3 linked regions of the Oryzias latipes genome follow. The protein of the gene in region 2 interacts with the protein of the main gene of each other region in a pairwise test. Links are inferred from orthologs where the notes say so. Each region holds a gene or a part of one and is shown on either strand. Other genes may lie near its edges. The genes, in order: rassf2, rassf5 and mylip.

What was found.
Region 1: the proteins of rassf5 (region 2) and rassf2 interact in binary tests that used the Homo sapiens proteins (3 or more experiments, as listed by UniProt). The link is inferred for Oryzias latipes from reciprocal best matches to the Homo sapiens genes RASSF5 and RASSF2.
Region 3: the proteins of rassf5 (region 2) and mylip interact in binary tests that used the Homo sapiens proteins (3 or more experiments, as listed by UniProt). The two-hybrid records come from large-scale screens. The link is inferred for Oryzias latipes from reciprocal best matches to the Homo sapiens genes RASSF5 and MYLIP.

What each region holds. Positions count from the first base shown.
Region 1 is NC_019867.2:6,443,334-6,454,763, forward strand, and holds the start of rassf2 (ras association domain-containing protein 2), read right to left. Parts: upstream 6,477-11,430; 5' UTR 6,193-6,476; intron 3,928-6,192; exon of another isoform or gene 2,920-3,927; 5' UTR 2,801-2,919; intron 2,183-2,800; 5' UTR 2,162-2,182; coding exon 2,109-2,161; intron 1-2,108. UniProt on the Homo sapiens protein: Potential tumor suppressor. Acts as a KRAS-specific effector protein. May promote apoptosis and cell cycle arrest. Stabilizes STK3/MST2 by protecting it from proteasomal degradation.
Region 2 is NC_019863.2:28,043,826-28,047,924, forward strand, and holds the start of rassf5 (ras association domain-containing protein 5), read right to left. Parts: upstream 2,801-4,099; 5' UTR 2,717-2,800; coding exon 2,014-2,716; intron 1-2,013. UniProt on the Homo sapiens protein: Potential tumor suppressor. Seems to be involved in lymphocyte adhesion by linking RAP1A activation upon T-cell receptor or chemokine stimulation to integrin activation.
Region 3 is NC_019869.2:23,667,100-23,678,702, forward strand, and holds the start of mylip (E3 ubiquitin-protein ligase MYLIP), read right to left. Parts: upstream 7,140-11,603; 5' UTR 6,966-7,139; coding exon 6,879-6,965; intron 6,282-6,878; coding exon 6,091-6,281; intron 878-6,090; coding exon 692-877; intron 1-691. UniProt on the Homo sapiens protein: E3 ubiquitin-protein ligase that mediates ubiquitination and subsequent proteasomal degradation of myosin regulatory light chain (MRLC), LDLR, VLDLR and LRP8. Activity depends on E2 enzymes of the UBE2D family.

The sequences.
Region 1 (11,430 bases), on a different chromosome or scaffold from region 2:
CAACTGGAAAAAGAACTGCAAAGCTGAGGTGTTCAAACATTTGAAACTTTAGCAGCCATCATTTGACCTCTCTAGTGTAATTAATGTACAGTCTGCTGGAAAACAACACCTTTGAACCTAATCTTTAGAGCAACAGCTCTTCGTTTTGACTACATCTACATCTATTCATTCCAATCTGTCAGTGCTGGGAACGTGATCAGATACTTAATCCAGAAGTAATACAAGTATAGAATAAAAGTAACAAGTCATCGGGTAAAGTAACTATTTGTTAAATAAAGTTGCTTTATGTCAAAATGATCATTTTTCTGATTAGTTTTTAAGTCAATAGAAATAAATAAAAGTATCAATATGTATTGCATATCAACAGACAGCTAAAGGTTTAAAGTATGAGTACATTGAAGTATACTTAAAGTATAAGTACACAGCAGCGATTCTAAAACGTGTTTAACTCTATTACAAAATAAATCCACCTCTGACAACTAAAAAATGAAAAAACCTGGACAACAAAGTGTTTGGTTTGCAACAAAAATAAATATTCAAATGACATAAAGTGCCTTTAACTCTGTTGTTAAATTAAATAACTCAAATATAAAATCTCAGAAAGCTGTTTGGGTTAACAACAGTTGTTATTTTCTCCAGCGGTAATCAGTTGAATCATAAAATATTCTTGCAGAAACTGTAGCTTATTAAAAACTTCAAACTCTCACAACTTGAGATAAAAGTCTGGATGTGGTTCTAATATCTCCACCAAGAAAAACGCAAACTATGCATCAAAACAACATTGGCTCTGATTGGCTACCATGAAACATGACACTGCTTTAGCCAATCATAATAGCTTATCCTGTTGTGAACCCGCCCACTTTAAGACAAAACGGGGTGGTGATGCTTTTGGCTTGTACAGTTTATTAATCAATTCTGTGTTTAACATTCAGTAATAATGAACACAAAACCAGTAATTATTGAATTATGAACATTACTGGCAATTACCTATAACCGCCAATTCAAACAGCATTATTACAAAAATGTCAATTGTGGAAACAAAACTTTTCTTTGTGATAAAAAATGGTTTTATTGCAAAATAAAACATATTACTCTGACTACAAATACAGAGAAGATTATTGTGAGAGTAAATACATTTTTTAAACAGTTTAGAAGAAGAACTAATACAAACAATAAACTGTAAAAGCACTTTTTTAATCTAAAAACTTAATTTGAATCTTTGTTTGCGGTCATTTAAAGCAAATTTTTGAATTCTGCAGTACATAAACAAGCAGCAAAACATATAAGACGATAATGCTTGCTTTTATCGTACATTAGATTAGTTATATCTTGGTTATTATTGTTGACCATATTTAGTATCAGGCATGACCATGCTTCAATATAATTATTGTAACATGCATTCAATCCTTACCGTGGGATAAAAAATATAACAACCAGCAGGGAAAGCAAAGGTCTGGAGGCAAACTAGTCTGAAATATTGATTTACTGACTTTAAATGTAATGATAAAGGAAAATATTTAAAGCCTCTTAATGCACCAATAAATTGAAGCACTCGCTGAAATGACTTTTGCTTGAATAAAACGAATAAGCATTATTTTAAAAATAGAGTCTAAGTGCAAAGGGCCTTCAAAACAAAATATTCTAATCATTTGACTTCTTTCTTAAACGGTTAATGAAGTTCATGATGAACGTAAAACGTCTTATTGTGACTCAGCAAACTGAAGGCTGTTCGTTTGCCTCAGAAATGAGGAACAGCGACTTCTGAGAGAGTCTGTGAGACTACCGTTCTATTTCACAAACCAACAGTTTAAACACATGCAGGACGGCGGATAACGTGGCTGCTGACACACGTGTAACCCTTGTGCTGTCTTAGATGACCCCACCCTTACATTGACGTGTTCTTCCTACCATGACTAAGGTGGATAAAGGTGGAAAGATTTCATGTAATCCATGGACACCAGTGAAGATCACAAATCATTGAAGAAAAAAGGTTCAGAGCACAGTCTAGTGGGTCTAGATGACCCAACTCCCAATGTTAAAGTGCCTAGGATAGCACAATGGTGAACTGTGCATGTTTAGGTGTGAAATGGCAGGAAGACTTCGCTTACTTGCTGACAAACTTGTTCTCTCCGATCTGAACCTCGTTCTCCGTCTCATCCATTCTCCGTCAGCATGGGGGGAGCTGGCAAACAAAAAGCCCACAGAGTTAAAGCTCGTCCGTCTGACTTGGTCCCATGACTCCTCATGACAAGCAACGAAAATCACAAAGAAGCTGGGCTGAAGAGGAGGAACAGACTGCAGGAAGAAGAGGAGGAGGAGGTCCACCTCCGGACTGTAGACAGAAACAACAGATCCTATCTTCTTTCCTGTCAAACTTTTTCTTTCAAGATTTCGAAAAGTGGGCCTCTCTGCACACAGCAAAGAAAACTGGCTGTTGCCAAATCTTTAGAAATGAACGCTGCATTTTCATCCATACAGCTGCCAAAAATGGCTCTCAGCCATCACTGTGGTGGGGGTTTGGCAGGAAGAGCGTCTTCAGAAAGAGATGGACAGGTGTGGGACATATGGGCCACCCCCAGGTTGGAATTATTTCAGCTGCTTGAACATTCATCACTATGCATTCAACACTGACATGACAGAAACAAATGCATTTTTACTGACAGGAACTACAGCCTTTACGCCAAAAAATACTAGAAATGCACATGTGGTCGTTTCGGCTCCAGACATTTGCTTCAATGTGAAATGAATGGTTTTTAAAACCCAGACTAAATATAATATTCTACGAGCAAAGTGATCGTACCGTGATGACTGTCGATTCCTGTGGAGTCTCCTGAGAGATGGCGCCGTCAGCGTGAAGGCGCAATAAATGATTAAGCAGGTCGACTTTCTGTCAATCCCTGGTGGTACCTTATCATGTATCTGTGTCAAAGAGCCAGAAAGTGGGTCTTTGGAGCGTGACAGCAAACAAATTGTAGCAAAAAAAAGAAACCTAAATAGCAAAGGGTGTTTAAAGGAAGTGAGTGCTCCCCTTCCGTCAAACAGCTTCCTCCTTAGCTCAGTCAGTCACACAGGAAACTAACATCACCAAATCCACGGGCCGGAGCTTCCTCAATTCAAACAGCAGAGAAGATTTCCTGTGTTCTAACTACTGAACATGTGACGGCCAGCAGACACACGGCTAAGCGTGTTTGTTCAAAACGACGGCTGTCAATCTCTGATATGAATGCGTCCGAATAAAACAACCACCAGCCATGCCAAGCTCATCAATAATTCAGCACTCATATTAAGTCTGGCGTTCACCCGACAGCTCTCCATTGACCCACACAATGGCGGCCATTAGCCTTTAATATCATCGTCTGAAGGCGGCTGTGCTTGAAGACTTTCCAACAGCTGAAGCCGGTGCTCTGAAACTGACATGTGGCCAGCTGCTGAACCTGAACAACGCTCAGATGTGGTGTCAAGTCACAGGAATGACGTCAACTTCACATCAACTAGACCGGAGGTGGGCCAACGTTTTACCTCGTGGGCCATAAAGGGTTCTAAAATTTGACAGATGGGCCGGACCACAAGCAGATGCAGAGTGCTTTGGTAACATATGGGGAAAAACTATACATATTTTAAAACACAACATTTAGGAGTTTTTTTTTCAAAACTTTGGCTTTTGTTCACAGCCAATTGCACTGATAGGTTTGTGTCCTTCAGGGAAAAACACAAAATGACACGTGACCATCAGAAAAACAACAAATCTTCAGACGGCTCATGAATGCAGAATAACTTACTGACGGGCAATTTATGTGTAGAGCAGCATCAATGGGAAGACATCAGAATTAAACGTAAAATAAAACTTTAATAAGGATTGTCATTATCATTTATTCCAGTTTGGTGGGCCAGATTAAATAATTTAACAGGTTGTAGTTTGCAATGCCCACCCCTGAACTAGACAGAAAGTTAAAAAAAAAAAAAAAAACCTCAAGTGTTCATATATTTCCTGGTTTCTATTATTCTTTTTTGTTTTTTGATTGCCAAGACAACATTTAAGCTTAGCTTTCCGGATTGTTTTATCATTTTTACCAATGCTAGCACCAAATTGCAGCTACGGTTATTAAAAATTATTGAATTGAGAAAAACGTTGAAATTGGCTGTATATTTAGACTTACAGAGAGGAATAGACATCGGAATAACATTTACCAAAAGAATATTGTTTTAGGCAACTTTAAGAATGAATTAGGGCAACACGACATAAAGAAAACTCACAATGTGCCATATTTGTGATCCCTATGACTGTCGATATGAACAAATAGTGAAGTGAATAATGCCTCCTTTCCATTGCACTACAATTTTTTTAAATAAATAACTTAAACTGACTTCTGCCTATGGAGGCAGGCTTTTAACATAAAAGGGTCCATCCGATTGGTCAAATGCGTAAAAGGCTCAAATTAGACTGCTAAATAATAAAAAGCTGCCCTAACATTGATGTAGTGAACATTTACTGTTATTGTAAAACGCGTATTGCACCGGTTGATGTTGTGATGACGATTTGCGATTGGCCTGGTTTAAATCCTCTGCATAAAGTAGCGAGTAACTGAGCCAACATCTGCATGTGTTGCTCCAGTTGTTTTGGATCTCTGTGCTGGCAGGCAGTCCAAATGTAGACCTCATTGACTGCCAAAAATTCCCATGAGTCTCGTTACGACCTCAGACGCTCCAGTCCTCGAATGTCTCAGACGCCTTCACTGCATTGTTGTTTGGAATCACATTAAAGACCCACTCCAATGAATATTGTGTCTTTTGGAGTTTTAAACACGTTTTTGAGGCATTTTTTCCTCATAATGGAGGACATAAAATAAAGAACAACAAGATGAAATCTGCATGTCTGAGTATTTCTTTATTCAAATTGAAAAAATGCAGTCGGAAAAAGGCTTGTACAGTTGGTGTGTCACAAGCTCTCTGCTTCACTTCTTTCTGATTCACCTGCAGACAAACAGATCCTTGTCTGAGATGGATCTAAACTGTACGGCTGGATAGCTCTGATATTGCTCGCCACGTTTGCTGCACCGGTAATGTTAGGTTGAGGATATGAGGAGCTGTAAGCTAGCTAGAGACAGTGCAAACAAAAGGATGATGGAAAATGAGGGCAGGCTCACTGCGTGTCAAAAGTCTCCGATGAATTTTGGATGAACCCCTGCCGCTCTGCAGAAACTAGGTCCTAGAAAACGAGACAGATTTTTTAAATTTAGGCTAAAAATCGCATAAATCATAATGACATACCTCTGGGAATGCATTGAAAATAGATCAAAAGATGATTGGAGGGGGAATTTAAAGAAATCTGGTGCACAGCGTGCTATTAAAATTCAAGACTCCCTGTGCTGCCTCCTCAGCATTTCTCTGCACACATGCTCCCTTGTTGTCTCCTCCTCTCCATCAATGCTCCTCCTGGCAGATGTGGTGAATGAGGAGCTCCAAATCTTTTGCCTGTCCTTTCTTAGCACCACCGACACCACCTCCCATTGCCTTTCAGCCTCCACATAACTCCTGCTCTGCCTCACTATTGTCACCATTGTCATAGCAACGCCAGAAAACAACTGTGCTCCAGAAAACAGCACACCCAGCCTCTTCTCAGTATCCTTGCTTCCTAGCAGCACAACTTCTATCCAAAAAACAAAGAAATAAAGATGGCTCAGATGTCCAACCAGACATTTAACTGAACTCTTCTCTCGTTTGTATGACAAAGGATTGTCCAACAATGGAAATCTCAGCTTTACTTGTTCCCTTTAGTTGTGTTTTAAAGGATACAGGCTGCAGCTTTCTGTAACACTTCTGTAACCTTTTTGACAAAACCATGAATCAAACTCTTAGGTATTTCATTAAGCTGTAGAGACCGGGCAGTGAATGTTTTTTTAAAAGCCTCCTGCCTCCCTGTAGCTGTCACAGCAGTGATGAATTTCGCCTATTATATAACGGCCGCTGGTCGTGAATGCTTAGAAAAAGCTGTTTCCCCTTCTTTTATTTTGGCTGCTGGCTGTGAAATCAAGCGCGGCTCTGCATGTAAATTACAACATGAAAGATTGCGGATTTTTGTTGGGAGTTTCTGTAAAGAAAAATGCGTGACTCGAACATACATTTCCCCGCACTTGTAATATTACTGACTGTGGGACTTAGCAACCCCGCGCCGACTCTGAATCTTATTCCTACCGACTTTCGGAGGTCCTCTTTCGGTTGAGCTGCGGCGCCTCTGATGTGCTTCTTCGTCTTCCTTTGATGGAAAACCTTCCGTTAACTGTCAGCTTTCCGCGTCCGCCGTCTGAAACACTCAGACGGGCGCGTGCAGACGAGCTTGTAAAAGTGGGATTTTAAACTAAAAAAAACGAGAGGAGGGGAGCGCGAGCTCCATCTGCTGTGGTCGACCTCGCGGGGGTTCGGCCGCGAGCCAATCGGAAGGCGAGACCGGCGCGTCTTTTGTTCGCTCCGCGTGCGTTGCTGAATGAAAACATGACAACAATGGGAGAAGCGAGCATGCGCAAACTCTTAATCGGCGTGCAAGTCACTGGAATCCCAATGACGGACTTGTTACTATTGTTTAGACGTAATATATTACTTTACAATAACAGTTACCATGCTTTTAATGACTACAAATGTCTGTAAACTGCAAAAATCATCTCTCACGCGTTTATATGCTCTTTAGAAATGTGATAATCCAAATAATTTGAAAAGTTAAGGTAAAAAGTAAAGAAGACTTAAAGTAAAACTACAAAGGGGCTGAAAGGTCATATAAACTAGACATTTTGGTAACCTGTTGAACAACTAGCCTATACAGATTCAGGGTGGATGGTTTGGACCGCCTCTGGGGACTGTCAACAAATTATCGAGTTTTTTTTTTTTTTGGTCAATAGCATTTAAGTTATTGGACCCAACCACACCAAATTACTCGAGTATAGTAAAACTGGCTAAGCACTGATACAGTAGTTTAGATTTGCTTTAAGGCTTTTTCTATTTTTTTGTTAACGGAGGCGGAAAGACCCACGGCAGAGACACATTTACCCATTTGAAAAGTAATTCACTCGTTACTTTACATTACTTTTTGTTCATACAAATTCTCAAGGGAAAAACAGCACAAACTAGATCCTTTCATCTCTCATTTAACTTTATTTTTAAAGCAATGGCCTCGTGCAATAAACGTGGTTCAAGACAAAACCTGGGTTTATTATAATTCAGTCAACAGTGTGAAAAATGACACAAAAGAAAGTTCACTGCTCAAAGTGAGATGTGGGGAAAAAGATAAAGTCATTCTGACTGGAGGGGCGGGGCTAGAACCGGCTCTTTCGGTTCTTAAGTGGCTCTTCGGGTCATTTTATTCCTTAAATTCCTTCATTATCAACAACAATAGGAAACAATTATGCACAAACTGAATGACTAATGTAAAAATGTGTTTCTATTTATGGAAAAAATAATTATGAAATATTAAAAACAACTATTTAAATTTCAACTTTTTTCTTTTTATGATGAAGCTTTTTTTCCTTTTAAATAAATTCAAAGTGAAACAACTTCTTGTTGCATCAGTCTCTTCCTCATGCAGGTGCATGGTTCCTGTGAATCTGTGTAGCGAACTAAAGCTCCTCCCTCTTCTGCTCAGTGGTGAGAGTATGTAGAACGGCTCCCAGGAAGGAGTTGGCTCGTGTCGTTCGCGCACGAGCCAGCCTTCTCTGTTTCGTCTAATTAACAGAGAAAATGGTAAATAAATTAAATGGCAAAATAAACAAATAATTGCAATTTATTTACTGAAATTGGAACAGTATTTCGTTACTTTGTAATCCGTCGCCCCAAACACTGCCCGCGAAGAGACCTGCAACGGCAGTGACCCGAAGGGCCACAGCTATCGCATCACATTAAAAACGTCTTAGGTTGAAGTTTGATAAATAAAAAGGAATTTCAAATAGAACTCAAAGTGTAACATTTATGTCTGTGTGATCAACATATAAACATTAATGGTGTAAAATAGAGATGAAATTATTTAAATCCTAATAATTGTGGCCCTACAACAGACTGGAGACCTATTCAGGGTGTACCCCACCTTCACCCAATGGAAGGGATTTAGCAGGTTTGAAGACAGACAGATTGGAATTGTCCTGTCCAGGAAGAAACTAAACTTCTGTTAGTTGAGGAAGGAGAGGAGGAAGATGTTTTTGTAAACAAAAAAGGAAATGCAGGACTGTAGGAGAAACTCTGAATGTAGAAACTCTGACAGGGCAAACAGAGAGTTGGTGACATGATGGAAAGAAGATGGTGGTGTGAGGATGACTGTGGTGGTGAGACAGAAGAAGAGGACCATGGGAGGAGCAAGTGCTGGAAGTGGTTTTTAGGGAGGAGTTTAAATAAGCATTGGGAGATCAGATAGAAATGTTCTGTAGATGTGTTCGAGGAGTTGAAGGCAGAGGTGGGACTGTACCAAGGATCAGCTTTGAGCTCCTTGTTTGCTGTGGTGACGAACAGACTGACAGATGAGGCTAGACAGGCATCTCTGTGGACAATGATGTTCTCAGACGACACTGGGAGAGCAGGGAGCGGGTGGAGGAACCTTTATAGGGGTGGAAGTTTGCTCTGAAAATGAGAATGAACATGTGCTGCAGCAAGACAGCATCTATGTGAGCAAATGAGAGGTGGACGACGGATTTAGGTGCAACGTGTGAGTAAGAATGAAAGGACGTGTAGAAGAATGTGGGGAGAGCAGCCATGCAGGACTGCCAGAATCCAGGCCTAGAGGGCCGGTGACCTACATGTTTTTCAACCATCCTTCCATTGAAGCTAATTATTGGCTAAACACACCTGATCCAGGTAATCAACAGCAGATAAGGCAGGGTTTCTGGAAAACCAGCAGGAGGCCGGGCCTCCAGGCCTGGATTTGGGCCCCCATGAGGCTCCGAAAAAGAGACAGGAGGCAGAGATGAAGATGCAGAGGTTCTCCTTGGCCATGACCAGGATGGATAGGACCATGAATGAATCCATCAGAGAAACAGTTCATGGTAAATGTTTGAGGACAAATGCAGGGAAGCAGACCGAGATGGTTTAGATACATAGAGAGGAAGAACAGTGCTGATGTTGGTAAAATGATACAGAGGATGGAACTACAAAGAAAAAGATGCCTGGAAGAAAACCAAAGAGGAAGTTCATGGATGTTATGCAGGACAGGTTATTGTGAAGGAGGAGAATGTAGAATTTGGGATAGGATGGAGATTTTCTGTGGCAACCTCTAAAAGAAGCAGGTAAAGGTGATTAAAGAGAATCTCCACAGGGTGGTAGATTTCCACGTTTTAGACGTTTTAAACGTGTAGATTAGCACGTTTCCCCCTACTGGCCATTTGTTGTACTGCGTTTTTTCACCCACATAAGATTTAACCCTTGTGCTATTTTAGATGACCCCACCTTTACATTGACGTCTTCTCCCTACCATGACAAAGGTGGAACGATTTCATGTAATCCATGGACACCAGTGAAGATCAAAAATCATTGAAGAAAAAAGGTTCAGCGCACTGTCTAGTGGGTCTAGATGACCCAACTCCCAATGTTAAAGTACCTAGGATAGCACAAGGGTTAAAAAAAAACAAAAAAAATACTAACAAGTACGCTTTAAAAAAAAAGGACACAAGACTGAATTCATTCTGTAACATCATATTAAAGTTTTAGGAACAAGAATAAAACATTTTGATGCTACAATTAGTTTACACAACTCTGACAGAATTTTTTGCAAACATTAAATATATTTTGCGTGTTAACCATTTAAAGCCACTTTGCTTGATCTTTGATTTAAACTGGCAATTTATTGTATAGACATAAAAAAATTAAATGCCTTAAAAGAAAAATAAATCACCAATTCAAAATAGGATCCAAATGCATTTACTTTTTAGATTAAAAGTACAAGACAGTGCGCTTTCCATGATGAATTAAGGTTAAAAGTTGGGATTTTTTTTTCCATACAAATATTTGCTTGCAAAACAAAACGATGTATAAAAAACATTTTAAAAGAAAAAACAAGAAAAAAAAACAAGTATAATCTTCAGGTAGCACCCCCTTCAAAATAACTGAAAGGGATGAATATCTTTGTTTTTAAATCCCTCTGGTCACTTTCTTAAGAAGCCAGAAATATAACTTTTTTATTCTAAATGGACCACTTGTGTAACAAATTTGTTAAAGATAAAAATACTTTTCAGGCACAAAGACAACCGACGTTCATCTGAAATGAAAAAAGGCTGCCAATGAACAGGCTTTCAGCAAGCGTCCCCTCCTGTATCCAGAAATATGAACAGGTGGAACTCCTGGAGAGAAAAACCAGGTAGACTGCACATGACAGGACATCAGTACATTTTCATAGCAGGACAGGGAGGATGGTATCAAAGGAGAGTTCATTATAGGCTGCATGATGATGGACCGATGCAATGGTATTGAAAAAAAAACCAAAGAAGATGCTGCGACTTTTCCCAAATCTACTTCATCACCAAAAACTCTTCAGTGGAGGAGAGCGTCAAAATCTTCAGTGCATGAACTCTGGGCTTACAATTAATGTTAATGTTAAACTGTCTGATTATTGAATAGTAGATATGTTTATAAGAAGATTTCAGTTCTAAGTTTTCAGGTGCGTAAATCGGACTCTCGGACCTCTGATTTTGGCATCGTTTCTCGTGCAAACGGCGTTTACAGAAACAAAGCTTCAAAAAAAAAACCACCACCTAGTTTTCAGGTTTTACGTCTTAAAGTGTCTCCATCTTGCTTATAAATATAATACATTACATATGGAATGGAATAAAAGCAAGAAACGATAGACATAAACAGTAGAAACCACCTCATCAGGTTAAATGTAAACATGTAAAACTAACTAATTAGATTCAGCACTTTCCCACAATGGAACATACAAAATAAAATCCTTCTCCGTGAAAGCATTTAGCATGTTACTTATAAAACATGTAAAAAAAAAAAAAAAAAAAAAAAAAAAAAAGTACATTTTTTTCAGTAGCAACAAAAACCAAAAATGACATAACAGCAGAAGTAAAATGAGAGATTTCAGCATCTTGCTTTGGTAAAACACCAGAGGAGTTCCATATTCTTCATCCTTTTTAAACTGTTTTCTTTGTTAGCTGTTGGAAGCAGCTCAAGAATGCAGATTGGTCGGATGTTTGGGGTGACAGAGCAAAATTTAAAAAAAAATAACTGCACAAATCTAGATTCAGATGGGTGAATGAAAGAAAAGCCTGACTTCTCACCAACATATCCTTGTTTTTCAGAACAGTTGTGATGACCAATCCACAGGAGATTAGTAATCCCTGCACTCGGATTAAAAGTTATACATTTTTCCTGCTGCTCCTCATTCTCCAGACAAGGCCCTGCGTCTATAGCTGTGTGTGTTTGAACACTGTAGCGTTCATAAATGCACTCGTGTCACCA
Region 2 (4,099 bases):
AACATCTGTTCAATTAGAGTTCATGAAGCTGTCTGATTACAGGATTACAAATCCTTTCAGTCACACAAATGACTGCCTTAACCCTCATAAAGTCTTTATCTGGGGCTCAGATGCTGAATCCAAACCTTAAACGCAGCTCAACAGAGATTAAAATGACAAGTATTAAACACAACCAAGTATTAAGTGTTAAAACTGGAACTGTGCTAAAGGACCCGTTTTGTTATTTAGGCTTTGAAAGAGATGAAGCCACTAAATCCATTAAATCAGAGCAATCGAGCCACAACAGCATGAACTTCTGCAGGCATTTAATTAAACATTAATCTGACATCTGACTCTGTCCGTCTGTTTTTAATCGCTACTCCTGGGATATAATCCTGAGCCAGAGACACGCCGGGCTGGGATTAAGGTGACTGCTATTCTTCCGTCTCCTTTCAGCTGTAAACCATGATCTTATTCTGATTAAAATGAACAAAAAATGAATGTTAAAAAGTCACTGATTTACTGAATATAATGGGTTAAAAAAAAGGGAAAATATCTCACATAGTTGACAATCTTTACTGTGGAAAATGAGGAAAAAGGAAGATCAAAGGGAACGAATGGAGCAACAGATTGGGTCAAAACCGAGCCCCAGATGACACGACTTTGAGTTGAGGTCAGACACGATGGATTCCTCTGAAGAGGAAAGACCTCAACCGTCCCAGGAGATGTTCAAGACTCCTCACAACAACCAGGCTTAATGAGAAAATGTGACAAAAAGTAAAGGAAGATAAAAGGAACAAAGCAGCAAAACAAAAGGATAGATTTGTTTATAGCTGGAAGACCTCAGTTCTTCTCTCCCTGTCATTTACTGGGTTTACCCCAAAGACGAAGGAAAAGAGAATAAATGCTGTGTGTGTTTTGGTTTTCCACTGGTGCGTTCTCCATTTCCCACACAGAAGAAGCTCTCAGTGCCTGGCAGAGCTTGTGACTCCACACTCACGTCCACTTCCTGACGAGAAGGTGGATGTTTTCTCCTTCAGACAGCGACGGTGCAGCTAATCACTTTGATCAAAGACAGAAAGGGCTTCGGAGGACAGAAAGTATTAAAGTTCCAGTGCAGCAAAGAAAGAACACGAGTCTCTTTGGACGTGTGTGTTCCAGTAATCTCTGCTCACGCCTCAGTGAGCTCTAGCCGATAAATCAGACCAGGCTTTCTCCCTGCAGCCCGATCTTAGGGCTTCTTCTCATTCTAAACACTTGTCGTCCTTTGCTTTGCTCTTCTCTTCAACCCATTTGTCTGCTCATTGCCTCTCAGTGGCTCTGTCCTTTCATTTGCCTTATCTCCCCCTGCCCTGCAGCCTCCCCATGACAGCGCCGCTGCTGACACAATGCCAGCTCAGCAGCCGCATGCATGCAGGGGCTGGTGGACGCACCTTCTCCTCCACACAAAGCCTGTGTGTGTGTGTGTGGGTGGGTGTGTGTGTGCAGCAGAGAGGTTCACACCGCTTCTTCAGGCTCCGCTGAAGGAAAGAATCAGTCTTTCTGTGTGTTTGTGCAAACAAGAGCAGGTCAGATTAGATCTGAGCAAACTTTCTGTCTTGGGGAGGTTAAGAGGAATTCAAAATATCCGTCTATAGAGCTCTACTGAGAGGAGGGGGGTTTTCTGACCAACGGTGGACTTTAAAGTTGGCAGTAAACATCAGTGTTTACAGAAGAAATGACCAACAAAACATGACAGTTTGCCCTTTTAAACCACTACAGTGGAATTACTACTGTTGAATTTCCTCTGCTCATATTGCTTAAGTAGGCCAAACAGCTTAAGCTTGCATCCATATCCAAGTGGGAATTTTGGAGGCAGAGCTGGAAGCAGGAGATAATCAGGCCTCCATGAGGGGATTTTGGGAATCTGATGATTGGGAATGTTGTCTTTCATAAAGCTGCGCGCGTTAAAAGCAACCCACTGAATCCCAGTTACACACAGTGAGATGAAAAATGAAGCTAAAAGTCAGCTGAGTTTTCAGGACTCATCCTTACTTTGACACTTGAGGGCTTGAGCTGTGATCTGATGGCTGCAGGCATCACACCAGTCCTGCTTCACGGGCTTGCTCTCGAACCGGTGCCCCTCGCCCCTCTCCGTCCTCACCCGCGGGTCCATCTCCCGCGGAAAGATGGACCAGGCCTCCCTGCGGTGCGGCTCGGTGCGGGCCAGCTTCACGACCCCCGTCCGGCCCCGCGTGAGACCGCGGAACTCCTGACCGGAGTCTCCGCTCCGACAGTTCCGCCTCTGGTGCGGCGAGTCCCGCTGCCGGTGAGACCGTTTGTGCTTGGTCTCCTTCAGCGAGTCCGTCCTGCGGTGTGAGGCGCCCTTCTTCACGTCGCTGCCAGCGTCGGTGGGGAGTCGCGTCCCGGCGGTGACCCCGTCGCTGCCCCGCTCCCCGCTTTGCTCCGGGCTACGTGGCGCCTCACTGACAGCCGGAGCCCCGCACCTCTCGCGGGACATCCTTCGTCCTTCAGCCGCCGCTCCTCCGCCGCCGGGTCCGCGCGACAGGGGATGCTGATTCCGGGGCTCCTCCTGGGTGTCGCCGCCGCTCATGAACACCATCTTGTCCCAGGAAGATTTTCTCGGGAAGCCGCTTTTGGTTTTGCTGCTGGAAAGCTTCAGATACAGAATTTGCGGTTCCGAATCCAGCCTGCTGTGCGGACCCGGCTGCTGCCCCACCAAACTCACGGACGCCATTATCCCACCGCCGCTCTCTGACGGGCGTGTGAGCGGCTCGTGCCCTGACTGTAAACTCAACCCGCGCGGGGATAAACGTGCAGGCGTGACGTAACAGATCAACAGCTTTAAATGTCACGAGCGCGCTCCTTCAGAGAAACGGGAGCGCGCTTTAATCTGCTGATTTGAGGTTGTCCAAAAAAGTAACAAATAAATGAAAAGAAATTGTATTTGGTGGATTATTTCTGCTTCGTTTAAGCTTAAAAAATGTATTTGCTATTAGAAAACATAGTCTAAAGAAAAGTGTTTTTTTAACACGCTCTTGTGCCTTTTTTCTGATGATAGAGGACATATATGAAGGAAATTAAGCATTTCTGAGTATTTTTTTATTCAAATAGTTGTGGATCAGGAGCAGACGAAATAATACCATTAAAAAGTGTTCATTAAATTTGTGAGTCTATAATATTTGTGACGTTGGAAATATACTGGATGGGCCACAAGCTCCCTGCTCCGATCTCTCAGTAAGGGGAGGGGAAGGGGGGCGGGGTTGCTTCGCACCAATGGTTGGGCCCACAACTCAGACGTAAATTTCTCATGAGTTACTGCCACTCTGCAGAAACTATGTCCAGGGTGTCCACTGCCTTTGCCTATGAGTGGCCTGGATAGGCTCTGGCAGCCCCATGACCCCCGAAAGGGACAACATGGATTTAGAAGATGAATGAATGAATAAAATTTTTTTGACTAAGTAATAATCATAATTAAAAGATCACTGGGAACACTTTTAAAAAAGCTCAAAATATGATTAGATCGATTCTTTAGATGTTTGGTTTAAAAAGTTAAATTCAGTTTATTTTTTAAGCTGAAACGCCCAACAGAGGCGTAAAAACATCTGAAACAAATCCCACTTGTTTCAGTCAGAAAATATCAAACTTTCCACTTCGCGAAGAGCGCGTCATATGAGCAGCGACAAAACCACAAGCAGCTGAAAAAGTCCACCAGGACGCCCACACCACCTGCACACTACAAAGATTTCCACTTTCAATACTTTCTATGAGAACAAGTTTACTTTTTACATATTTATCTTGTTCAGAACATCAGTTTATTATTTTTTGAAATTAAAAGGACAAAAGTGTTTTCTGTATGTCTCTGATTGTATCTATATTTTCCAATTTGATTCACATTGACTTGATTTTATTTTCATACCAGATGGGGAAAAAAGGCTGAAATCCACTTGAGTCAGGTTTGATTCTTCTCATGCATGAATTAGCTCATACATGGGTACTATGTAGATCATTTACCAAACAACACATGGGATTCCCCTGAACAGAGAAGACCACACTGTCTAGAGTAATTTTGAAATGTGTAACTCCCAACACAACCTAAAAAACAAAAGGGACCTTAAGG
Region 3 (11,603 bases), on a different chromosome or scaffold from region 2:
GTCTTTGCGAAAGGTTGTAGAATTTTACAAACAAAACCCATAAGCCTTTAGTCAGCTGCTTTTTTCTGATAGACATTTGTGGCATCAAATCTTATCCGAACATTTCTCCTCAAATAAAAACACAGGAATGTTTATTTTTCCTCAAAAGGTCTCTTCTTTAGACTATTCCATCCGACACACCGCCCTCAGCAACGCAAGTTCAATTGAAAGTTAGTCCAAAACGCGCGTTTTGGGCTTCTGCGTTCAAAACTCTCGTGCTTACGCGTAGCTATGCACGTTTTTGCCGCCATTTATGGGCTCTATGTACAAGATGTGAGTCCATTAAACAATCGCGGACCCTGAATTGTAGAGACGTATGGATGGTGTCGTTTTTACGTCATGGAAGTGCCAACTGTTCGAAAACTGATCATGGAGGAAAAGAAATTGCGGTTGGTTCCCAGCTGCAATTATACGACAAGGTCTTTCACACATCGGAATAGAGCTGTGACAGGAAAAGCAAACATTTTAAGACAGAGGAAAACAAGAAGAAGCCCCTCCCTGCTTGTCCAGTGTGAACACCATATGCGAAACGCATGTTCCAGAATGCCTGTTCAGTACGTTCTTGAATGTGCGTCAAATTGCCAGGGTGTACGTAGCTTCAGCTCAAACCCCCCCCCTCAGCCTGTGCCGAGCTGTACAGTGGGCGTGTTACCTGTTGATGGTGGCGACACTGGGCTCCTCTCCACACAGCTCAGAATACCAGTACTGGGCGGTGTTTTGGTTGTAGTCCCCGAACTCTGCCTGAGCCAGCAGGGCACTCAGCTCCTCTGCTTGTTCGGAGCCCATTCGTAGGTGACCATTGTGGAGGTCCTCCTTCACGTGCAGGAAGAAGAGGTGTCTGGAGGGAGAAATTAAGATGAATTATGGATTTTTTTTATGCATTTATTAAACAGTCAAGGCTACAACTTAACATTTAAGACAGTGTGTGAAAAAACCTTCACTACATTTGTTTGACTAGGTTGTAACCACTTCCCCAAATCACAAAAAGCCTAACTGAAGCAGAAATGATGACACAGGTTTTCTCAAAACCTAAAAAAAAACCCTGAAATTGAAAGCTTTTCTTGATACAAACACGGATACTGTATGTGAAAACAGTTGTAGGGGGCGGGGCCACAGTTATTGTTTGGGCTGACTCATAGGAGCACCACGTTCTGGTTTGGTAGGGAAAACAGACGCTACAGCAGGTCTTTTCATTGTTTTTGCTACATGATGTAAAGAATTCTTTCCTTCACCTCAGCAGGAGACCATGAGGGGAAACATCGCAGCTAACAGGAGCGCTGAACACAGATCCTCCCTTCAGATTGACCTTTGCCACAGTAAACAGTAAGAAGATTATGAACTAGTCACCTGCTCTTAAAACAGTTGCACATTCACCTCTATGCAACAGTTTGACCCACTTTAAGTCCTCTCAGAACTCAACAAATCAGACCGGTTTCCTTTTTTACCCATTAAAACAATTCAATTTTACATTTTTATTGGAGTAAATTAGATCCTACAGTAACTTGAGGTTGTTTGGAAAGTTTAAGATGCAAGTAAAACAACATTCTTCCCCAGTAATGTCTACAAAATAATACAACTGAAGGCGGTTGGAAAGAAGGAGATTGTTGTTTTCCGTGATCCTGCAGTACAAACAAGACTACACCTTGTGACAAGCGCCGTGTTTCAGCCGCTGCGAATGCAACAGCAGACACGCCTTTGCAAAAACGTTCAGCTGCGAGGGGCGCACAAAGCCAAGTCTACGCCGCCACCTGTGCAGAAGCCGGAGCGATGCGAGGACCAGAGCATGAGCGGCCTCGGGCATAACAAACACGCTTTGATTTGGTGTTAAACATCCCATTCCCTCCAAACGCACACAAACACTGCACTCCATTGTGTCAGGCCCAGCAGGCGTCATGTGATGGAGCACTGCTAGTTAGCTACCTGCCTGATGCAAACAATGGAGCTGACGTTACAGAGAGTTTACTACAGGTCGTTGGCACAGGGTTACTATAGGGCGAGGCGCAGGTTACTCTCGGTTACACAGGTGTTTCCGTGAGGTTACCGTCAGTCACAACACCTACATGTAGACGAAAGAAGGGTTTCCTTTAAAAAGAAGTCACAATTTAGTGAACTGAAGCCAACAGTTCCTTTACATTAAACGGTGAATTCAAGGGATTTTAGAGGCCCAGAGAGCAGAAACGGTTGTTGTCACCGCGGGCCGCTTCTGCCAGACAGCTCTGAGAGGAACCAAAGGCCGAACACCAATGGCTTCATGTGGATGAAAATACACTTCTTAAAAAAGGTCAACTTGCATCATCAACTTCCTCTGGGTAAAAGAAAAAAAAGATCTGCCGCTTTGCAGAAACCATCTCCTAGAAAATGACAAGTTTTTTGATTTTGATAAAAACGGCACAAAACATAATTAAAAGACCACTAAGAAAACTTTTGTAATACATCAAAAAACGATTGGAGAGGGACTTACGTCAGTAAGAGCTTGAACTAGCAAGAAGCTTGCTATTCAAAATAATAATAAAAAATTAAAATTTACAAAAAAGGCCAGGAGTCTGCTGAAAAACGTATTCATTTATTGACAGACCTATAAGATAAAGTTTAAAATTTAAATAAAGTTTAAGAAAAAATTATAAAGTCAGAAGAAAAAAAAAGAGTTTTTAAACAAGACATGACTTGGAAGAGTTTACACGAAACAACAGGGTTTTTTTAATACAGCGTGTACTGTACAGTTTAATCTGCAGGCCATTATTGCAACACCTTGCAATCCTTTGAATGTCAGGAAGTTTATTGAGACTGAAGTCTCCTGTCCTACTTCTACTGTATTACAGTTTAGGCCACACGTCTTTGTCCACAAGATACAGACCGCCTGCTAATATAAGCAAATAAACAGACTCAAAGCTTCGTGGCACAGTACCAAAGAGGAAAAATTATACTCATACAAGTAAGACTTCTCAAAACAAACAAGTCAAAAGCCTGGGTTCTTGTTTATGTTTGCTCGGACGAAGCATTAAAACCTACTAAAAGAAAAACCGGCTGTTTCAGGAGCTGCACTCAAACTGAAACCTAACCCTGCTGCCTGGATACCGAGCCGCTTTCAGCCAATCAGCAGCAGAGTTTTACATCGCAACAATGCGGCTTGTAAGCTAGTCAAATACCACAGCCAGAAGCCATGTGTTACGAGGTTACTCCCAGTCAATGACCTGTAGTTAACTCTGCACGCCAACTTCTCCACAGTTTGAGGCGGAATAAAACAGAAGATGTGCAGTTTGAGACAAAGCTGCAGTTCACGGATTTTATACATCTATGCCTTCAAACTCAAAAGGAGCTTTGCAGTGATCCAACAAACAGGCCGTCTGTGCGAGACATTCTTTGGGTTTTCACAGAACAGTAAACTGCAATTACAGCAGATGTTCTAAGAGATTAACAGGAAAAGTGGAGCAAAGAATAAAAAAAAAAAACAATAGTTATGGTGCTTGATGTGAAAGATGGCAGGATGTGCCACCATCTCCAAAAACACATGAGCCAAAATAAATCCTCTTGAACAGTTTTTGTAGAACAGTAGTTTAAGAGAATGCTTTCCTTTCCAAGTGTTCTCACTGATAAAAAGTAAAAATACTCTTTTGTGGAACAACAGTTGTGCAAATTGCCCATAATCTTGACTCTTACCTGGATCTGATCGACATCTTATGCAAACTCACGTCCCTGCATACAATTTTCCCCTCAGTTAGTTGCGTTGGGTTTAGACACAATGCCCCATGGGAAAAAAAAGCATTTACCATAAGTACCGTTTCAAAAACCCAAAGAAGGCGATTCATTTAAAATATACATGCTTTACCAAAAAACAAACCTTCATAAATCACGTTTTTCCTTAAATTCTTAAATTCTTAAATTTGTCAACAAAAATAATTGAGTTTAGGGTTAAGATTCCTGCTAACCTGCTCTTTCAGGGCATCAAACGTTTACCTAATCAGAATGCTGAACACATTTGCTGAAGGGAGGAACCTGAACAGCCCCAAGCAAGCAGGGTTTAATGATCAATGACAGCACCAACACGACCAATAGTGTTATTCCAGTACTTAAGCACAGACCAAATGGTCCAAAGGAAAAAATAAATAAAAACCCAAGATGAACTACTTTGCAAATCGGCCAGGAATCTCCTGAAGAAGCCTGATCAAAATATTCAGAAACACACAAAAAAAGGCGGGTCAAAAATGAAGTATAAAGATGCTTGATAAGAACGTGAATAATTTAAGGCTGTGCATGGAAAAAAAAAAACAAAAAAAACAATCTGATTAAAATTAGTAAAAAAAACAAAAAGACAAAGATCTGTGGAAAAGCAAAAGGACAGATGCCACCAATAAAAGGCTAAGCCAAAGTCTAATGAAAATAATATGCAATTATTGACCTCTGAATATACAAAATATAAAGATTTTGTGATTAATTCGTTCTCAAACAAAACAAATCCTCGCAATCCCAACCTCATTAAGGTTAGGTTGTTAGGTTTAAACATAGTAACTAAAATAAAAAAATTGTTTTAGACATTGAAACTTCCTAATCTATAGGAAATCTACAGAAACTGTGTGTGTGCGTGCACATGAACACTTAAGTGACCAGTAAAAGCTTTATGTGGCAGCAGAGCACACAACATCCTTATATAATCCACCATGAGGTCAGCAGGTTACATAAGCGGGCTGCAGAGCGGCCTATACAGACAGGTGCCAACCGCCCAGCGCATCTACAGCGAGCGCGAGTCGTCTACAACCTGCAGGAAATGCCCTTCACGTCACGACCAACACCTGATTCTTTTCTCCACATGAAATGTGCAGCAGAGGAGCATAATGAGGAGTGTCTGCTTGAAGTATATTAAGCAGAAAACTATTTTTTAATTAGTTTGTTTAAAGCCAAGTCAAAGCTATTAAAAAGTTTCAGGAAAAAGTTCTTAAAAGAATTGCACCACAATCTGCACAAATAGGGATTTAATATGCAAATTAAGTAACAAAGTTCCCTAAAAGATCAATTTATAGTTTAAAAATGGAACAAAAAGTTTTTTTTTAAAGTAAAATGTAAGTGTTACAGCATGTTTGTGTGTGCTGCAGCCATGCATACCGTTCCCTGTCACTTCACTTTATCTCTAGCCTGACCCTACCACCCTCCACTCACCCGACGCCAGCTATCTGCTGATAACCCCAGCTAATCGAGTGGCGGTCGGAGCAGAGGCAGCCAACTGTCCCCGTGCCCTCTCCCCCAATTCCCCCCCCCCCCCCCCATCACATTTGTCTCCGGAGAGGATGCCAAACATGGACAACAGCAAATGATCTGATGTACCAAAATAATGAGTGAATTCAACATAAGTAGATTAAAAATAAATAAATAAAATAAAAAAGAGGGAATAAGTCGAGTGAAGTTGTCGGTTTCCCGGCGACATGCCCCCCCCTTATAAAAACAATGCACAATTAACTTTTCTAGGACCCAGTCCAGTTGGCTCAAATCATGAAGAAGAAAAGAAAGTAGTGGATGAGTTTTTTCCTGCTGGGGCTAAGCATATTTCTGACAAAAAAAAAAAAAAAAAACTAACAAAGGGTCCACCAATGGCACAGTTTCAGCTGTGACTCAATGACCCACATGAGAGAAAACAAAAGCGGTGGGGGAAAAAATAAAAAAAAAGGCACTGCTGGCCCGTTTCCAGAGAACATCTACAAACGTGTCAAAGTGTTAAAGTGCTTGTTTAGAGAAATAAAACAACAAAAAAAGCTACAAACAAGGTTCACTCATAGAAGCAGAGACATGGGGGGGGGGGTTCTGTTTCGTCAGAATGGGTCTCTGGGGAAGCGTGAGGAGCTGCTGGGATCACATTTCCAGCCAAAATGACCTACAGTAACCCCGGAAGAGCTCCGGAGAGAGGTTACTACAGGGCATTTCCACTGCACGGCCTGCAGGGTGTTTGAGCAATGCCTTTGTTTTGAGTCAGCCAGAGCGCTCTCCTCTTTGTCAGTCATAGGGAGCCACGAGGAGAAGAAGAAAAAAAGAAGAGGGTTGAGGGTTCAAACACTGAGCTGGTACCTGGTCTGTTCCTGCAGAATGAGATGGGGCTCCACAAAGAACTTGACCCGCAGCCTCAGCCGGCAGGGTGTCACATTATCCATCTGCTGGCAGATGCGATTCCTCAGATTCAGCCACAGATTCTCTCCTTTGCTGCCCGTGAACTGCAGCCCAAAGTAGTCCGCTTCAATGATGCCCAACTTCCTGCAAACCTACAAGCAAGAGAAGAAAAAAAAAACACAACGCCGTCTGTTTCACTGCTTCAATACAAAAATAAAGTAATTTAATTAGTCAGAAAGTGAAGCAGGTTACAGCTTGTTCCTCAAAAGCACAATTATAGATATTTTTATATATAAATAAAACCAATAGATTTTCAGAGCTACAGGGAGGTGATTTTAAAGCTCTTTGTCTTTTTGCGCCAATAATAACCAGAACTAAAAGTTTAGAAAAGTTTCATGTGCGCCTCCTGAAGAATGAACTTTAGTAACCCCGGACACTCAGCGCCTCTCACTTAGTGACTAAGCTCTGCACAAAAGTGACCGCCGGCAATTTTCCCCAGCACCGCAACCAAAAAAGCGCTCCAGACATGAGAAGAGTTAACAGTTTTTAGCTGGGAATTCATGCATTTATGTGTGAAAACATGTCAAAGCTTTTGTTTTGGGGGCTAACACGCGGATCTATTTACAGGAAGTTCAGCGCCAGAAAATAAGCAAACGTGGAAAACCTTTGTTGATTTTGAACCACAATGTTGCGTTTAAAAAAAAAACAACATAGTAATTTGTGATGTAATATTTGAAGCTCAACTTTACCTTATTCAGACAGTCTTCCCCGTTTGCCTTCGCATCGACTTGCACTTCCATCACCACCGAGTCCGGACGAGTCACGTGGCAAAGCATTTTTGGTCGCTGTCCGTGGATCTTTGGTGTGCCACGCGCTGAAACAAACAACTTTCGTGTCCTCTCCAAAACCGTCACGTCCACATCAAGCTTTCTTCACGTTCAGACGCTTTCACTACGCGAGCCGAATCTGCGCTCCCCAGCTGGACCCTATCTCAATGAAACCCGCGAAGAGCACCGCCCACTAAACACTGACCAATCAGAGGCATCTTAAGCATTCTCTCTGAGATCTTTTAACCAATCAGGAAAGCTGATCAATTCTTAACTCCTGAGGGCGCCCCCGTGTGGCCAAGCTTATGCTTATAGTTCGGGGCTTTTCACTGACCTGAACTGAATAAATTAGACATTTCTCCAACTCCAGAAGACCTCGCGGTGAGTTTAATGAGTCGTGCTGTTCGCCTTTCTGTTCACAACATGTAAATATTCCATGAGACTACTGTCTAAATATAGATTTTCATGAGAGGGAGAGTTTTCCGGTTTGCTTGCTCTTTGATGCTCACATGCATTTTTCATAGTGGCTTATTTTTTCCATCCAATTTTACCTTTTCTTTTCTTTTCTTTTCTTTTTTAAACATGTCTATGAAGACTCTCATTCGTCCAGGTTGGTTCCATTGTAGTAGGTTTAGGGGTTGTCATCTGGACTTGGTTTTTAAAGTTAGAAGACGTTTCACCTCTTATCCAAGAGGCTTTGTAAATGTTCTTTTTTAAATAGAACAAAATTCAAATAGATGTAAAAGATGATCATTTCACTGTCAGCTTTTAGACTCCACAACACCTCATACACACTTCACTGTCATTTATATTGTAGCCCAACTAATGTTGTTACTTATAGATTTTGGTGTTATTTATAATCAGTATTATTATTATTTGTTGTATTTGAAGTTATTGTGACAAATCTATCTATCTATCTATCTATCTATCTATCTATCTATCTATCCATCTATCTATCTATCTATCTATCTATCTATCTATCTATCTATCTATCTATCTATCTATCTATCTATCTATCTATCTATCTATCTATCTATCTATCTATCTATCTATCTATCTATCTATCTATCTATCTATCTATCTATCTATCTATCTATCTATCTATCTATCTATCTATCTATCTACCATGCAAGGATTCTTGCATGGTAGGGCAGGGCGGGAACCAAACCGGCAACCTTTTGATCAGAGGGGAACTTCTCTACCTCTGCACCATGACCTCCCAGTGCTTTAATATGATTAGGGTTGAAAAATAAACATTAGCTAACCACTGATTAATGTGATAAATAATATATTTAGTAACGGAAAGTCATGCATAAAAGTGGCACTTACCACTTTATTTAATATTTAAGTAATGTTTACTGATGCATTAACTAACATTAATTGTAACGTTGTTCAACTTGTGTCTTTTATGCTGTTTTTCTATGTGATGTCTGTTGTTAATATTTTAAATCCTTTTTTTTTTGTTAGTATTTTTTGGGGTTTTTAGTGTTTTTATTAGTTAATTTATATGTGCTTGTAATGTTTTTTTTAATGCTTTTTTATCTAGTGTGACAGCCATCCAAATTCCCTCTGGATCAATAAAGTATTTACCTAGTATTCATTTTATTATTCACCTAACTATCTCTGTACTTATATCCATCTTACATGTTGTTCTTCAACTAGATGTTGTAGAAAATGCCATTGTGGTAAAAAAAAAACAGTTAACTTATTTTAGGTTTAAGTTGCAGTTGCTGTTAAAACTGTCAGCTGTTTCAGTGACTCATTTGCATAACTATTACCCCACCTCTGGCTGTATTCACGTTGATGCCATCCTTTTAGAGAGACTGAATATTTCATCCTCAGATGCTCTGCCTCATCACGCCCTCAGCATCTACTATTTTCATGATTTATTATTCACAGCTTTGTGATGGAAGGAGCCCAGGCCAGAAGAAAAAGCTGCAGTCTTATTCTTCAACCATGGTTGCAAAGCGCTCAGCCAAGCTCGTGATGTGTCTGCCAGCGGGACATATTAGAGTCAAGACAGAGTGCTTTTCTTCATTTCTGCCTTCTTTATGTTGCATCAGTGACACTAATGAAACCTGAGGCGATTCAAAACGACTCAATGAGAATTTAAAAAATGTCCACTTTTTGAGTTAAATTGTTTTTAATAAATGCGGAAACATCTGAACACATTTGTGTTTGTTTAACTGATCAAAGATAATCTGATCATATTGAAAAAAGGTTTAAAAAAATGCTGAAGAAGAATCTGGAAAAAGCTGGTCGTAATGCAAACTTTGGTTAATAATCAGTCTCTCCAATCCAACCAGCAGCAGAAAACCCAGCATGGCCTAGTTCTCACAAACAAAGTAAACAGAGTATGGAATGTGTGTTCTCAACTGGTTTAACCCTTGTGCTATATGCACTTTAACATTGGGAGTTGGGTCATCTAGACCCACTAGACAGTGCTCTGAACCTTTTTTCTTCAATGATTTGTGATCTTCACTGGTGTCCATGGATTACATGAAATCTTTCCGCCTTTATCCACCTCTGTCATGGTAGGGAGAACACGTCAATGGAAGGGTGGGGTCATCTAAGATAGCACAAGGGTTAAATAGTACGAGTTGTTTTCAGTGTAAAAGGGGAAAAATACGTCACTTTAAGTTAAGCCACGATAGCTTCACTTGTAGAAAATATATAAAAACAACACAAACAGAGCAGATGTTTTGCCATTTTTTAGTGAGACATCAAGGCAACCTTGGTACTCATTGCAATTATTTTGAAAGTTGTAAAAAAGAAAAACTCATTTCTGATCATCCCTTTTGCCAAAACAGTCATATAAACAACATTTGCCTCAACACAGTTTCATGGTGCAATTCAGAATAAAGTACCTTGCAGAGTTTTGCAAAATTTAAATTAAAAAATTTAAATTATTCATTCATTCATTCATTCATCTTCTTCCGTTTTGTCTCTTTCGGAATCACTGAGTTGCTGGAGCCTATCCCAGCCACTTGTGTGCGAAGGCGGGGGGCACCCTGGACAGGTCGCCAGTCTGTCGCAGGGTAATAAATGAAAAATTGAAATTACATTTTTTATTTCATCGTGTGACTTTTAGTCACCTAAGATGAAGACTTGAGTGAGTCAGCGTGGGGGGAATCTTGCTAGGATCCCTTTTAAAAAGGGATACCAGTTTTACCAGTAATTATATCTCTTATTGTTTGTGAGAAGCTCAGCCTACATGAAGTCATTGCCAATTAAACTTTACCCTGAGGTGATATAATTATACAATGACTGTATGTCGCAGGAAAATGTCTGAGCTAGCTATTATCAGAAATGTAACATAGATAGTGAGACTGTGGCAGATAAGATAAAGTGTAGAGGTGGGATTGTATGCGTAGAGATGACACAGCCTAGCACTTTACCACAATCTGTTTTTTTTAAAAAGCAGACTGAATTGATGAAATAACAACTTCTAGAACAAGTTCTAAAAAAAAATCACAATTGTGTTCAGCAGTCTGGCTTTAGTCTGAGTTAAGATCTTGTCTAGATGAAAACAATGAGTGGAGCCCCTAAGCATTTCCATCTCTCACAGTTTTTACAGGGACTATTTAAAGGATTAGTGCCATCTAGTGGTGTAAGCCATTAGTTGCAGTCAAATAAATGTGTACCACAAGGAGAGTCTCAGTTGAACTAATAGAGGATTGCAGTAGAGTGAGCTGCATGACGGTGCAGTGGTTAGTGCTCTCACCTTAGACAGGAAAGGCCCTGGTTTACAGTTTTCCCCGTTGGTTTGGCTCATTTCCTGAAACTGAAATGACAATCTCAAAGCTAAAAAGTCATTTCTGCATATACACTTCTGCACAACAGTTCAGCTGACTGGAAATAGCAAAAATTCTTTCCCAAAACTCATCAGGCACACTTCAGAAGCAGATTATTTTCTCAGATGAAGAGTCAATGGCATCAAAATGGCATAGATCCCTCTAAGTTACTTTGGCTCATTCTCATCCACTTAGTTCTTTTCTCAAAGTAACTTGGATGCTTCAGCACAACACCATGGATCACCTGCGGACGCTGATGTCTCTCCCAAAACAGTTTATCCACGGATCAAAACCAAGTTTATTTCTCACACAAACAGTCAAAAAGCATCATCCCTTTGGTAGTTTTTTGAGCACTGCAGGTCAGAATGCTTAGATTTTTTGTCACTATTGAAGAGCTCGAGCTAACAGGTTACATTTTTATATAAAAGTAAAAGACAAACAAAAGAATTTCACAGTAAGAGCAGCTTCTGAATTTGGACTTCACGCACATGTACACAGCATACACTTCTCTGTACAAGTCCAGCGTAAAAACACGACCAAAAGAAAAATCCAGTAGGCTGAGAGAGCTGTAAGTGACAGATTACAGTAAACTTCACTGGTCTCTGTGGGTGTCCTCCCTCTCGTGGACATCGTCTTCATGCTCTTGGCCATCCACACGCTCCTCTGATATTTTCCCTTGCTATGCAGCGAGTGAGGAAACGACGTGAACGTTTTAACCTTCCCTTGCATTGACCCCATGTGATGTTCTCACATGCAACATCCATCACTTGCAGCAGGGACCTCTTACTCCCCCACCACGCATCCTCACTCCTCCAGCTGCTCCTCTTCTTCTACTTCCTCCAGCTGCTTCTCT